Linked DNA regions of Sus scrofa. The protein of the gene in region 1 interacts with the protein of each later gene in a biochemical or structural test. Links are inferred from orthologs where the notes say so. Each region holds a gene or a part of one and is shown on either strand. Other genes may lie near its edges.

Region 1 (3,744 bases):
ACCTGGGTGAGGGTGGGGGCAGTTAGTTCAGCAGGTGCCGGCTGCCCCGCCCCAGCCCAGCCCAGCCCAGCGCCGCCAGCCCACCTGGTGTGCCCGGCAGATGAGATCCAAGTCGTGCTTGTGCAGGAACTTGGCCACCACCTCCGCTCCAAAGGTAAAGGAGACGCCGCGGTCATTCTCGCCCCAGCCCTGCACGTCCTTGTCGGGGTCAGACCACAGCAGGTCACACAGTAAGCCCTGGTCAGGCACGTCTGTGGGCCGCATGATACGCCGAATCTGCTCCATGGACTGCAGGTCGGGGGACAGGCCTGGGGAGCACAGGAGGTAGATCACTTCCTTGAGCCTCAAAACGAGGCCCCTGCCTCCTCCGGGAAGCCTTGCCGATCAGCCTCTGTCCCCACCCCTCCGTGGTCTCCTGGGAGCCATGACAGGCAGACCTCGCCACCTTCTGCCTCTCGTAGCCCCTGTTTCTTCAAGGAGCACAGGGCTCCTTGGAGAAAGGAGACAAACTCCACGTGTGAAGCTGTGGCCACGACCTGACAGCACAGCCTGACATGAGGGTGCGGGGGGACTTCATGGAAGAAACGACTCGGGGGAGAACTGTTGCAGCTGATGCCTTTGTCCCCAAGCCCCCCGGGATGGGGCCAGGCTCGTCCCTCCCAAGCACTCCTCCAGCGCGGGCCCCAGAGCTGCTCTCACCTCCGTGGCAGCAAAAGATCTTCTCGTCCACAATGGCAGCGATAGGCAGGCAGTTGAAGCAGTCAGTGAAGGTTTTCCACAGCTTGATGTTGTAGCGTCTCTTGCCTGCCCAGAGGAAGGAGGTGGCTCGTGAGAAGGCCTGGCTGCCCCACCTTCAGCCGGGGTCCCTGGGCCTTGCAGGGCACATCATGTGCTGTTCAGACACAGCTGGGAGGGAAGCAGAGAGGGCAAGGAAGGGAAACCCATCCCACTGCCTACCAGCTTTCCAGGAACCCCAGCATTCCAGTTCTGGAACAACCTCAGGGTTGGCACCCACCTGCAGCACATGAGCAGGGCCAGGCCAAGACCAGGTCTGTTTATCTCTGCTTCTGGCAAACAGAGTCCAGTCCAGACAGGCAGCCTAAGTGCTTAAGTAACGGATGCGCTGGAGGGGAGTGTCACTGGGCAAGGCCCTTATTAGAATACGGGCAGCCCTGCAGCCAGCACCCATTCACCAGATCCCTCCTGAGTGCCAGGACCCATGCCAGGAGGGCAGGTGGAGAGACCTGAACTGGCCTGGCCCGGCCCTGCCTTCACGGAGCTCAGTCTAGCAGGTATTTGTCAGACACTGATACCCCAGCTGCCAGGCCAACTCGAGGGTCCCTCTGAATGGCCAGGAGAGCCCTTTAGGACCCGGGCAGCCCCAGACACCCATGGCACTTACACTCATCGTAGAAGCCATAGATGCGGTTGATGCTGGCACACTCGTGGTTCCCACGGAGCAGGAAGAAGTTCTCCGGGTACTTGATCTTATAGGCCAGCAGCAGGCAGATGGTCTCCAAAGACTGCTTGCCCCGGTCCACGTAGTCCCCCAGGAACAGGTAGTTGCTCTCTGGAGGGAAGCCGCCGTACTCGAACAGCCGCAGAAGGTCATAGTACTGGCCGTGGATGTCACCTGGGACCCAGGGAACCAGGTCAGGTCTAGGTTCAGTCTAAACCTGAACCCAGGGATAAGGCTGGGATCCAGGGACTTTAGAGGGGCCAAAACCACTTCCAGGAAGCAAAGGGGCTGGGCAGGGGGCTCACCGCAGATCTTGAGGGGTGCCTCCAGCTCCAGAAGGATGGGCTGGCTCAGGAAAATCTCCCGGGATTTGAGGCACAGACCACGGATCTCGTTCTCTGTCAGCTGTACATTCTTTCCAGGCCGCGAGCCCTGCACTGAGGGTGGAAGGAGCGTCAGGACCCTGGTCCCTGAGACTAGGAGAGGGTGGGTGACACACAGGCCCTCATGAGCACTTCTGGGGCGCCTGGGCCCCTCCTTGCCCAGAGGCAGCTGTTGCTGCTGAGCCTCCTGGGACCGGACCCCAACTACCCTCAAGGCACTTGGGAGGGGACTGCTGTGCGCAGGGGCCCTACCACCCAAAGCCTGATAGCGCAGGACCCCTTCCCGGGTGGCTAGGCTTCTCGGGTTTCTCCCTCACCCCAAGAGCCCAGGCCGACCCATGCGCCCCGGCCCTGTTCCAGCGCGGGGAACAACCCCAGACCTCCAGGCGCGCCGCGATTTGGCGGGGAGAGCCACGGCCACGGGACCTCGCGGCCCGTCCCCGCCCAGTCTAAGCTGGCCCTGGGAGGGGCAGGTCCACCCGCGCGCCACTTCCGGGCCGGGAAGGGGGCCAGGGCGCGGCGGGCGCCCACCTCCCCCGCCCCGGCCAACCTTCCAGCAGGCGCCCGATGATAGAGTCCAGGTTGAGCTTCTCGCTGTCGGACATGGCGGCGCCGCCGCTCTGGCCCAGCAGCTCCGGGCCCGCTCCTGCCTCCCACCCTCCCGCTGCCTCCTTCCGGCCTGGCTCTCCTTCCGCCCGGCCCGGCCCGGCCCGCCCCGGCCCGCCGCCCCGCCTCCTCGGCCGCCCGCTCCGCCCCTCGTCGCCCCGCCCCGCCCCGCCCCGTCCGCTGCCCCAGCGCTCTAGCGCCTCCGCCGGACGCCGGGCGCAGAGGCCCAAGCGGCCCGGGGGGCGGGGCCTCAGTCACGGGGCGGGACTCGGACGGAACGCCCATCTCTGGGGCGGAGCCTCTTGGTGGGCGGGGCTTCGAGGGGCGAGGTCGAGTCTAGTTCTGCCTATGAGAAGTTGGCCACCCCTTTCCAGAGAATATGGGACAGGAAGTGCTGTGGAAGTTGTTTTTCTCTTTTAAGGGCTACGCAGTCCTTCTCACCTCCGCCCTGGGCGGGAAGTTGGTGTGAGCTCATCGGTAACTCATTGGGTCTCCCCAAATACTGCCGATCAAGTCCTTGAAGTGCACAGAGATAGCAAAGGGTTGGTCCAAGACCTGGACCTAATTCAAGGGCCTCTACCTCCGGAGTCTCTGTGGCCCCCAGGTGACTGACCAGACCTAGAAACCTGTCACTAAACTCCAAGCCCATTTTGGTCCACAGTGCCTGTGATGCAAGCTGAATTAGCGGTTAATTTTTTTTTTCTTTCTCAGCTGCACGTGGAAGTTCCTGGGCCAGGGACTGAATCCAGGCTGGAGCTGCGACCTATGCCACAGATGCAGCAATGCTGAACCAGCGCCTCTACAGAGACAAGCCATACCACTAATCCGCTGCACCACAGAAAGAACTCCTATCTATGTATTTATTTATTTATTGTCTTTTTGTCCTTTTTAGGACCACACCCACGGCATATGGAGGTTCCCAGGCCAGGAGTCCAATCAGAGCTACAGCTGCCAGCCTACACCACAGCCATAGCAACACCAGATCCTTAACCCACTGAGCGAGGCCAGGGATCAAACCTGAAACTCCATGGTTCCTAGTCCGATTCGTTTCCACTGTACCACGATGGGGAACTCCCTGTTTTTTTTTTTTTTTTTTTATGTTTTATCATTGCCTTTTGAGTAGCATAATTAAGCTACATTGTGCGCATGTGAAAAATGTTATTTCGTGAAGAGCAAACATTCAATAAACCGTAATTCTCAGAGTTCCCATTGTGGCGCAGCGGAAATGAATCCAACTAGGAATCATGAGGTTGCGGGTTTGATCCCTGGCTTTGCTCAGTGGGTTAAGGATCCGGC
Region 2 (3,303 bases), on another chromosome or scaffold:
CCGAACCTGCATCCTCATGGATACGAGTCAGATTTGTTTCCAGTGAGCCACGAGAGGAACTCCTGACAAGGTTTTTACATAAAGAAGAACTCTTCCTCAACAGCAAAGAATGCAAGTTCCTGTCATGGCTCAGTGGTAACGAACCTAATTAGCATCCACGAGAATGTGAGTTGGATCCCTGGCCTTGCTCAGTGGGTTAAGGATCCAGCTTGCTGTGAGCTGTGGTGTAGGTCGCAGACTCGGCTTGGATCACGTGTTCCTGTGGCTGTGGTGTAGACTGACCGCTGCAGCTCTGATTCGACCCCTACGCCTGGGAACCCCCATGTACTGTGGATGCAGCCCTAAAAAGCAAAAAACAAACTCTGGGTTCCTTTTCCCATTACACAGATTTTTATGTATATTTCAAACATGTCTGTTTTCAGTTACTGGAAGAATAATATCTTACATTATTTTGGCATTGGCCTTTTCTCTCACCCACAGAGCTCCGGAAATTGGCCTCGGTCCTTGTCAGTGACTGGATGGCTGTCATCCGCTCCCAGAGCAGCACCCAGCCTGCTGGTAAGCTCCTGGGTCCTTTATCCCTGGTATTTCTTGCCCCTGGGACATGGCCTTCGTGCCTCTAGCCTGCTTTACCTCCGACTGACTGTCTCTCTCCTCTCTAAGTGAAATCCTTTTCTTCTCTGTCTTTCCACAACAGAGAAAGATAAGAAGAAACGCAAAGAAGAGGGAAAGAGTCGAACCACCCCTCCTGAGCGACCGTTGACTGAGGTGAAGGCAGAGACCCGGGCCGAGGAGGCCCCGGAGAAGAAGAGGGAGAAGCCTAAGTCTCTCCGCACCACGGCGCCCAGTCACGCCAAGTTCCGTTCCACCGGTAAGGCTGCTGGCAGGCCTCTGCGGGGACGTGCACGACCGAGGCTTGCAGTGGAGGAGTTGGACTTAATGGTACAGTGACCCAGTCTGTAGACGAGGGAGGACAGTGGGTGAATCGTCATGGGGTTTATAAGGCGAGACGAAGGTGAAGGGAGGAAGAGTCAGGAGTGGGTGGAGTGAGTCCAGCCCCAGCAGCACATCTTTCCTCCCCCAGGCCTGGAGCTGGAGACCCCGTCTTTGGTGCCCGTGAAGAAGAATGCCAGTGCAGTGGTGGTTTCTGACAAGTACAACCTTAAACCCATCCCGCTCAAGCGTCAGAGGTGCGGACCGTGTTGTGGGTTTTCGAATGGCCGGGTCTGTGCATGTCGGGAGGAGAGAAGGGGTGAGTCAGCTGCAGTTGACGGTTCTTTTTCTCACAGCTCCATAGCTGCCCTGGGTGATGCTGCCCCCCCTGCAGAGAAGAAGTACAAGCCACTCAACACGACCCCCAATGCCACCAAAGAGATCAAAGTGAAGATCATCCCACCACAGCGTGAGTCAAAAACGGGGGGCTGTGCTGGGAAATGGGAGCAAGCTCTGTGGAAAGGAGACACTTTCCTCCAGTTTTCACTTGAGTTTTTGGTGTCCTTTAATGTTTGCAACTCTGGAATTCCCTTTATAGCAGCGCTTCATAGGGTTACTTAGGAGTTATTTTATTTAGGAGTTATTTATTTTTTGGCCCCACCTACAGCATTCGGAAGTTCCCCCAGCCAGGGATCGAACCTGTGCCGCAGTAGTGGCTTGGGTCACTGCTTGGGTGCCCCAAGCCACTGTTGTGAACACACTGGATTAGGAGTAATTTTAGAGATAAGGTAGGCAGGCAGGGCTGGTTGGGGCACTCCCAGCTGGCAAGGTAATCTGTCATGTTCCTGGCGACTGGCCTTGTCAGTTACCTGAGCTCTGATTCATATCCAAGGCCACAACTTGCCTGCCTTAAATAAAAGATAGGGAGTTCCCGCTGTGGTGCAGCAGGATCGGCAGCATTTTGGGAGTACTGGGACATAGGTTTGATCCTCAGCCCGGCACAGTGGGTTAAGGAGCCGGTGTGGCTACAGCTGCATCTTAGGTCACAACTACGGCGTGGATCTGATCCCTGGACTGGGAACTCCGTATACTGTGGGGCAGCCAAAAAAGAAAAAAATAAAAAAGATAGGAGTTACTCCTGTGGCCCAGTGGGTTAAGAATCCAACTGCAGTGGCTTGGGTCGATCCTCAGCCCAGTGCAGTGGATTAAAGGATCCGGCATTGCCATAGCTGCTTCTCAGGTTGCAGCTGCAGCTTGGATTCAGTCCCTGGAACTTCCGTATGCTAAGGGTGTGACCACAAATTTAAAAAAAAAAAAAAAAAAAAAGCGTAATGGCGAGAATTTGTGGTGTGAAACCTACATATGCTTTCTGGTCACCTGGAGCCTGTTGTGTCCAAATAAGCACAGGGCAGGGTCTCTGTTGGCCGGTTTTCTGTTCAGACTTTGTGGGAATTAGGATAATGGAGAAGGTCTGCTGATTCCATCTTATGCCTTTTTGTTTTGCAGCTATGGAGGGCCTGGGCTTTCTAGATGCGCTCAATTCAGCCCCTGTTCCAGGCATCAAAATTAAGAAGAAGAAGAAGGTGCTGTCACCCACAGCGGCCAAGGTATGGGCGCTAGGCAGTAGGTGCCAGTGCCCGGGTAGAAGAGGTCCAGGGGAAGGGAGGGCGCGGCAGCTGGGCACGTGGGGAGGACAGAGCAGCTGTGTCTCAGGTGTAGGCTGGTGGGGGCAGACAAGAGACAGAGCTGTCCTTCAGGGGACCTGCTTGGTGGGAATCCTGCCTGGGACCGTGGACTAACTGCCTGGCCTTGACCTTCCTTGGCTTTCCTGTCCGCTCATTCACTTCTTTTTCTTTCACAATAGCCAAGCCCATTTGAAGGGAAAACAAGCACAGAACCAAGCACAGCCAAACCTTCTTCCCCAGAGCCAGCACCTCCTTCGGAGGCTATGGACACAGACCGTCCCGGGACCCCAGTTCCCCCTGTCGAAGTCCCGGAGCTCATGGATACGGGTAAGTCTAGACACTGGCTCAGGTTGGGGGGTTTTCTAGAAGGAAGGATCCGGTCTGAAACCACTCCTGCTTGCAGCCTCTTTGGAGCCAGGAGCTCTGGATGCAAAGCCAGTGGAGAGTCCCGGAGATCCCAGCCAGCTGACACGGAAAGGCAGGAAGAGGAAAACTGTGACGTGGCCTGAGGAGGGCAAACTGAGAGAGTATTTCTATTTTGAGCTGGATGAGACTGAACGAGGTTAGAGATCAAGTAGGCAGGGTGGCAGGTGGGCTGTAGGCAGGTTCAAAAGGGCTTGGTGGGGCTTACTTCCCTCTTGCTTCTTTTCTCCTGGCCCATAGTTAATGTGAATAAGATCAAGGA
Region 3 (3,744 bases), on another chromosome or scaffold:
TCTCTCCCTTACACACCCTCTCGTCCGCAGCTCCCCCACCCCCTATATCACTTTCTGTCCCAGTCTTTCTGTTTCTGTCCAAATCCTCTCCTGGGCTCACAATCTCTTTAAGTCTCCCTTCTGTTCCCTCCCTCTCGCCCTCTCTCTCTCTGGCCCTCCACGTCTGCTGTTTCCTTCTCTCCCGGACGCTCCTTCTCACTGTCTCTCTTCCTCTGCTCTCCCAGTTTCTCTTTCCCCTCTGCTGGTCTTTCCTTCCCCCTGCCAGCCGCCCACGCTGCTGTCCCGGCTCCCAATCCCCGCTGACCCCGCCCCTCTTGGCCTCCCCACCACAGCCTGACCTCTGGCTCAGCTGCCCCCACAGCTGAAGGGAGGGGCTGGGGGCTGGGGGCTGGGGGCTGGGGGCCACCCTCCCACCTCCACCCCACCCATCCACCCACACGCTCTTAGGTCCCTGCTGGACCGGGTCCCATCAAGGCTGAAGCTGGGATTCCTACATGTTTGGAGAAGAGGAGCTGGGCCTGGACTCCAGGACCTGAGGGGGCAGGTTGTGATCGGAAGCCTGGGTGATTGGCGCCTTGGGAATGGAAGGGAGGGGTAGGGGCTCAGACTACTGGGTACCTGACAAAATGTGAGCCAGGAGTCAGGACTTGAGAATGGAGCTGGGGTCTGGAGGTGTGGCTTGCAGTGGATGGGTCCAAGTCCTCCAGAGAAGAGAGGGCGGCCCCCAGATTGCTGGGTTCTGGCAAGAGCAGGGTCAAGTGGCCAGTGGCAATCTCCACCTCAGATCCAGGTGAGAACTCCGGTCTAGACTGAGGATGATGCCCTCTCAGGAGGGAGGCCTGGGTCCTGGGCGTATTTTGAGGTACAGGATTGCAGACCAGGTTGGTGGTGGGGTGCCAGGGACTGAAACCATGTCCTTAGGCCTGGAATTTGGGGCAAAAGACCGCCCCCCCACTCCCTTGATGTTGGTGATACCCAGCTAGAATTTCAATTTGTGTAAGCGGAGGTTCTGTATAAATTTGAAGTAGGTGGAGCCTAGGAGTGGCGCCTTGTGCCTGAGATAGGCACGGGATCTGAGGTTTTGGTCCAGTATTTCTCACCGCGTATTTGTTGAGCACCTACTATGTGTCACGCAGGCAGTGAGCAAAGAAAAGCGCCTGCCTTCAGGGGCCTTACACATTCTCTTTCTCTTTTGCAATGAATATAGACTCCGCTGTGCCCACCCTTGGGCAAGTGATTTCATGCCCAAGACTCAGTTTCCCCATCTGTGAAATGGAAATAATGATACCTTCCCACACCGGATAGGAAGCCGACTGGACTGGAGGGTGGAAGACTCTAGCCTGGGGCCGGCTGGCTAAATTGGGGGCGGGGAGTAACGGCGTTTGCCTGGAACAGAGGTTGAGCTCGCGCGCTCAAAACCTAACCAGTTCATGAGTTTGATTGGCAGCTCGCCTGCTTCAGGGCGTGGCCACGCTCAGAAATACCGCCGTGACGTCATAAAGTCCGGAATCTCCGCGAGAAGTCCAACCTTGTTTTCCGTTTCGTCCATCACGATTACGATTCGAAACCCCGCCTCCTCTCCTGACGTCACCACGTCCGGCTGCGTTTGTGTATAAAAGCGCTGAGGACCGCGTCAACCCTTACGTCCTAAGTGGCTAGCCGGTGTGTTTGTATTTGTTTCTCCGTGTGACCTTGCGCCCATTCGTCGTGACAACGCTTGCAGCAGCCGGTGACAATTTGAGTCCCCGAGCCCGACGCCGGAGGGCGAAATGAACGCTCTGGACTCCCGAGCTGTCCGGAACTGCGATCGCTTGTGGCAGCCCCAGCCGACGCTCCTGCCCCCAGGGTGACGCGCAATCCCGAGCTGGTGAGTTGAGGGGGTCGGAACATCTAGGTTCCTAGGGGTTTGGGGGCGGAGGACTAGAATCCTGGTCAATAACGAGGAGGGAGCTCGAACTTCTGAGTTCCGAGATAGGGGTGTTCGGAGCTCGGACTCCTGTGCCCTAAGGACTCCTGGGAACCTGAACTCCTTTTTCTGGAGAGGTGGGACGAGGCCGGACCCGAGGGCTCGGACTTAGGCAGGAGAAGGAATTGGGAGCTTAGAGTCCTGAGCCGGACAGAGGAAGAGTCTGGGAGCCAGAAGGCACCATCTAGGGATCGGAAGTTTTATGTCTTGGAAGGAGGAGAATGGTGGGCGCCTAATTTTTCAATCCTCAGGAGGATGAGAGAGGCAAGGGACAAGGACTTTGTCCCCAGAGGAAGCAAGCAGAGGACCTGTGTTCTTGCTTCCTGGGACTAGAATTTAATGGGTCAGAGAGGAAATGGGGCTGGGAGCCCTTTGGGCTAAGGAAGGAATGAGTGATGATCCAGACTCTTGGGTGTTGAGAGAGGCTGGGAAACTAGGGACAGAGATGGGTGTGGCTGGGATGAGAAAGGAATGTGGGGCGGGGCCTCTCTGGTTGCTGTTTGTGTTACTATTCGTGTTACTATTTGTGTTGCTATGACTCAAGGTCACTCTCTGATGCTATTCCCTCCATGGCTTCTAAACTCGTTTCCTTTTTTTTCTCCCTTTTCCCCAGCAGACAAAGATGGCCCCAGGCCAAGTGCCCCACCAGCCTGCCCCCTGGAGGGCTACCCACTCCTTTCTCCTGTCCCCGCTGATGGGCCTTCTCAGCCGGGCCTGGAGCCACCTGAGGGGCCCAGGCCCTCCAGAGCCCTGGCTAGTGGAGGCAGTAACCAGGGCAGACGCGGGAGAACCTGGCCTGGAGGGAGACACAAAGGCTTCTCTGGCCACCCAGCCACAAGAAGAGCCTGGAGAGAGGAGAGCAACTGAGGAGGATGAAGAAGCATCCTGGGGGAGCTACCCTGACCTGGAAGCCAAGTGTTTGCTTTTGGAAACCTGGGGACTTTCAGATGATGAGCGTGGTGGGGAAGCAGCAACCCGCGTCCCTAGAGAGCCCGGAAGTGAATTTATGGATGGCCTTCCTGCTCCCCTGTCCCCCAGCCTTCTGATGAGAGCCCAGCAGGACGTTCCTGGGGAGGAAGAATCTCAGGAAGAAGCAGTTACTGAAGATAAAGACATAATCACCTTCGCTTTTCCTCTGTCACACTGGGAGGGTTGTCCAGGTGTGGCAGTGGAGGAGGAGGAGGAGGCTGGAGAAGCTGTAAATAAAGAAGCTCCTAGAACATCTACCTCCCCCTCAGCTCCAGGACCCCAGCCCCGCTCCTGGGTGTGCTGCGCAGTGGAAGGAGCCACAGAGGAAGAAAGAACAGAGAACAAAGCAGCCACGAAGCCCTCCACCTGCCCCTCATCCCTCGGTTCCCACCCCGGGGCCTGGGAGTGTTGTTCAGGGGAGGAGCCTGAGGAGGAGGAGGACAGAAAGGTGGAGAAACGAGAGGCTGGCCCAGAGCCCCACTCCGCAATTCTAGCCCAGAGCCCCCTGCTCGGGACCCGGCAGCATCAGTCCAGGGAGATCTCAGAGGAGGAAGATGAAGAGAAGGATGAGGACAGGGATCTGGGGGCAGCCGAGGGCCCTTCTTCCAACCTACTCACAAATGCCTTCCTGAGGGCCTGGGTGTACAGACCCGGAGAGGACACGGAGGAGGAGGAAGACGGGGACAGTGACGAGGGAGCAGCTGAGGAGGAAGGAGAAGCTGAGGAGGAAAGAGAAGCTGAGGGTCCCTCTTCCAGCCCGCACCCAAGTGCCTTCTTCAGAGCCTGGGTGTATCGACCCGGTGAGGACA

The links.
Region 2: the proteins of PPP1CA (region 1) and PPP1R10 form a complex in vitro, tested with the Homo sapiens proteins (2 studies listed by BioGRID). The link is inferred for Sus scrofa from reciprocal best matches to the Homo sapiens genes PPP1CA and PPP1R10.
Region 3: the proteins of PPP1CA (region 1) and PPP1R15A are reported together in a solved structure, tested with the Homo sapiens proteins (2 studies listed by BioGRID and IntAct, with this or other methods). The link is inferred for Sus scrofa from reciprocal best matches to the Homo sapiens genes PPP1CA and PPP1R15A.

Annotation. Positions count from the first base shown.
Region 1 is NC_010444.4:5,118,940-5,122,683, reverse strand, and holds the start of PPP1CA (serine/threonine-protein phosphatase PP1-alpha catalytic subunit), read right to left. Parts: upstream 2,483-3,744; 5' UTR 2,448-2,482; coding exon 2,393-2,447; intron 1,897-2,392; coding exon 1,765-1,896; intron 1,634-1,764; coding exon 1,403-1,633; intron 805-1,402; coding exon 700-804; intron 309-699; coding exon 85-308; intron 3-84; coding exon 1-2. UniProt on the Homo sapiens protein: Protein phosphatase that associates with over 200 regulatory proteins to form highly specific holoenzymes which dephosphorylate hundreds of biological targets.
Region 2 is NC_010449.5:23,152,499-23,155,801, reverse strand, and holds part of PPP1R10 (serine/threonine-protein phosphatase 1 regulatory subunit 10), read left to right. Parts: intron 1-480; coding exon 481-558; intron 559-697; coding exon 698-871; intron 872-1,084; coding exon 1,085-1,190; intron 1,191-1,289; coding exon 1,290-1,402; intron 1,403-2,439; coding exon 2,440-2,540; intron 2,541-2,797; coding exon 2,798-2,945; intron 2,946-3,021; coding exon 3,022-3,180; intron 3,181-3,281; coding exon 3,282-3,303.
Region 3 is NC_010448.4:54,170,408-54,174,151, forward strand, and holds the start of PPP1R15A (protein phosphatase 1 regulatory subunit 15A), read left to right. Parts: upstream 1-1,630; 5' UTR 1,631-1,867; intron 1,868-2,579; 5' UTR 2,580-2,588; coding exon 2,589-3,744. UniProt on the Homo sapiens protein: Recruits the serine/threonine-protein phosphatase PPP1CA to prevents excessive phosphorylation of the translation initiation factor eIF-2A/EIF2S1, thereby reversing the shut-off of protein synthesis initiated by stress-inducible kinases and facilitating recovery of cells from stress.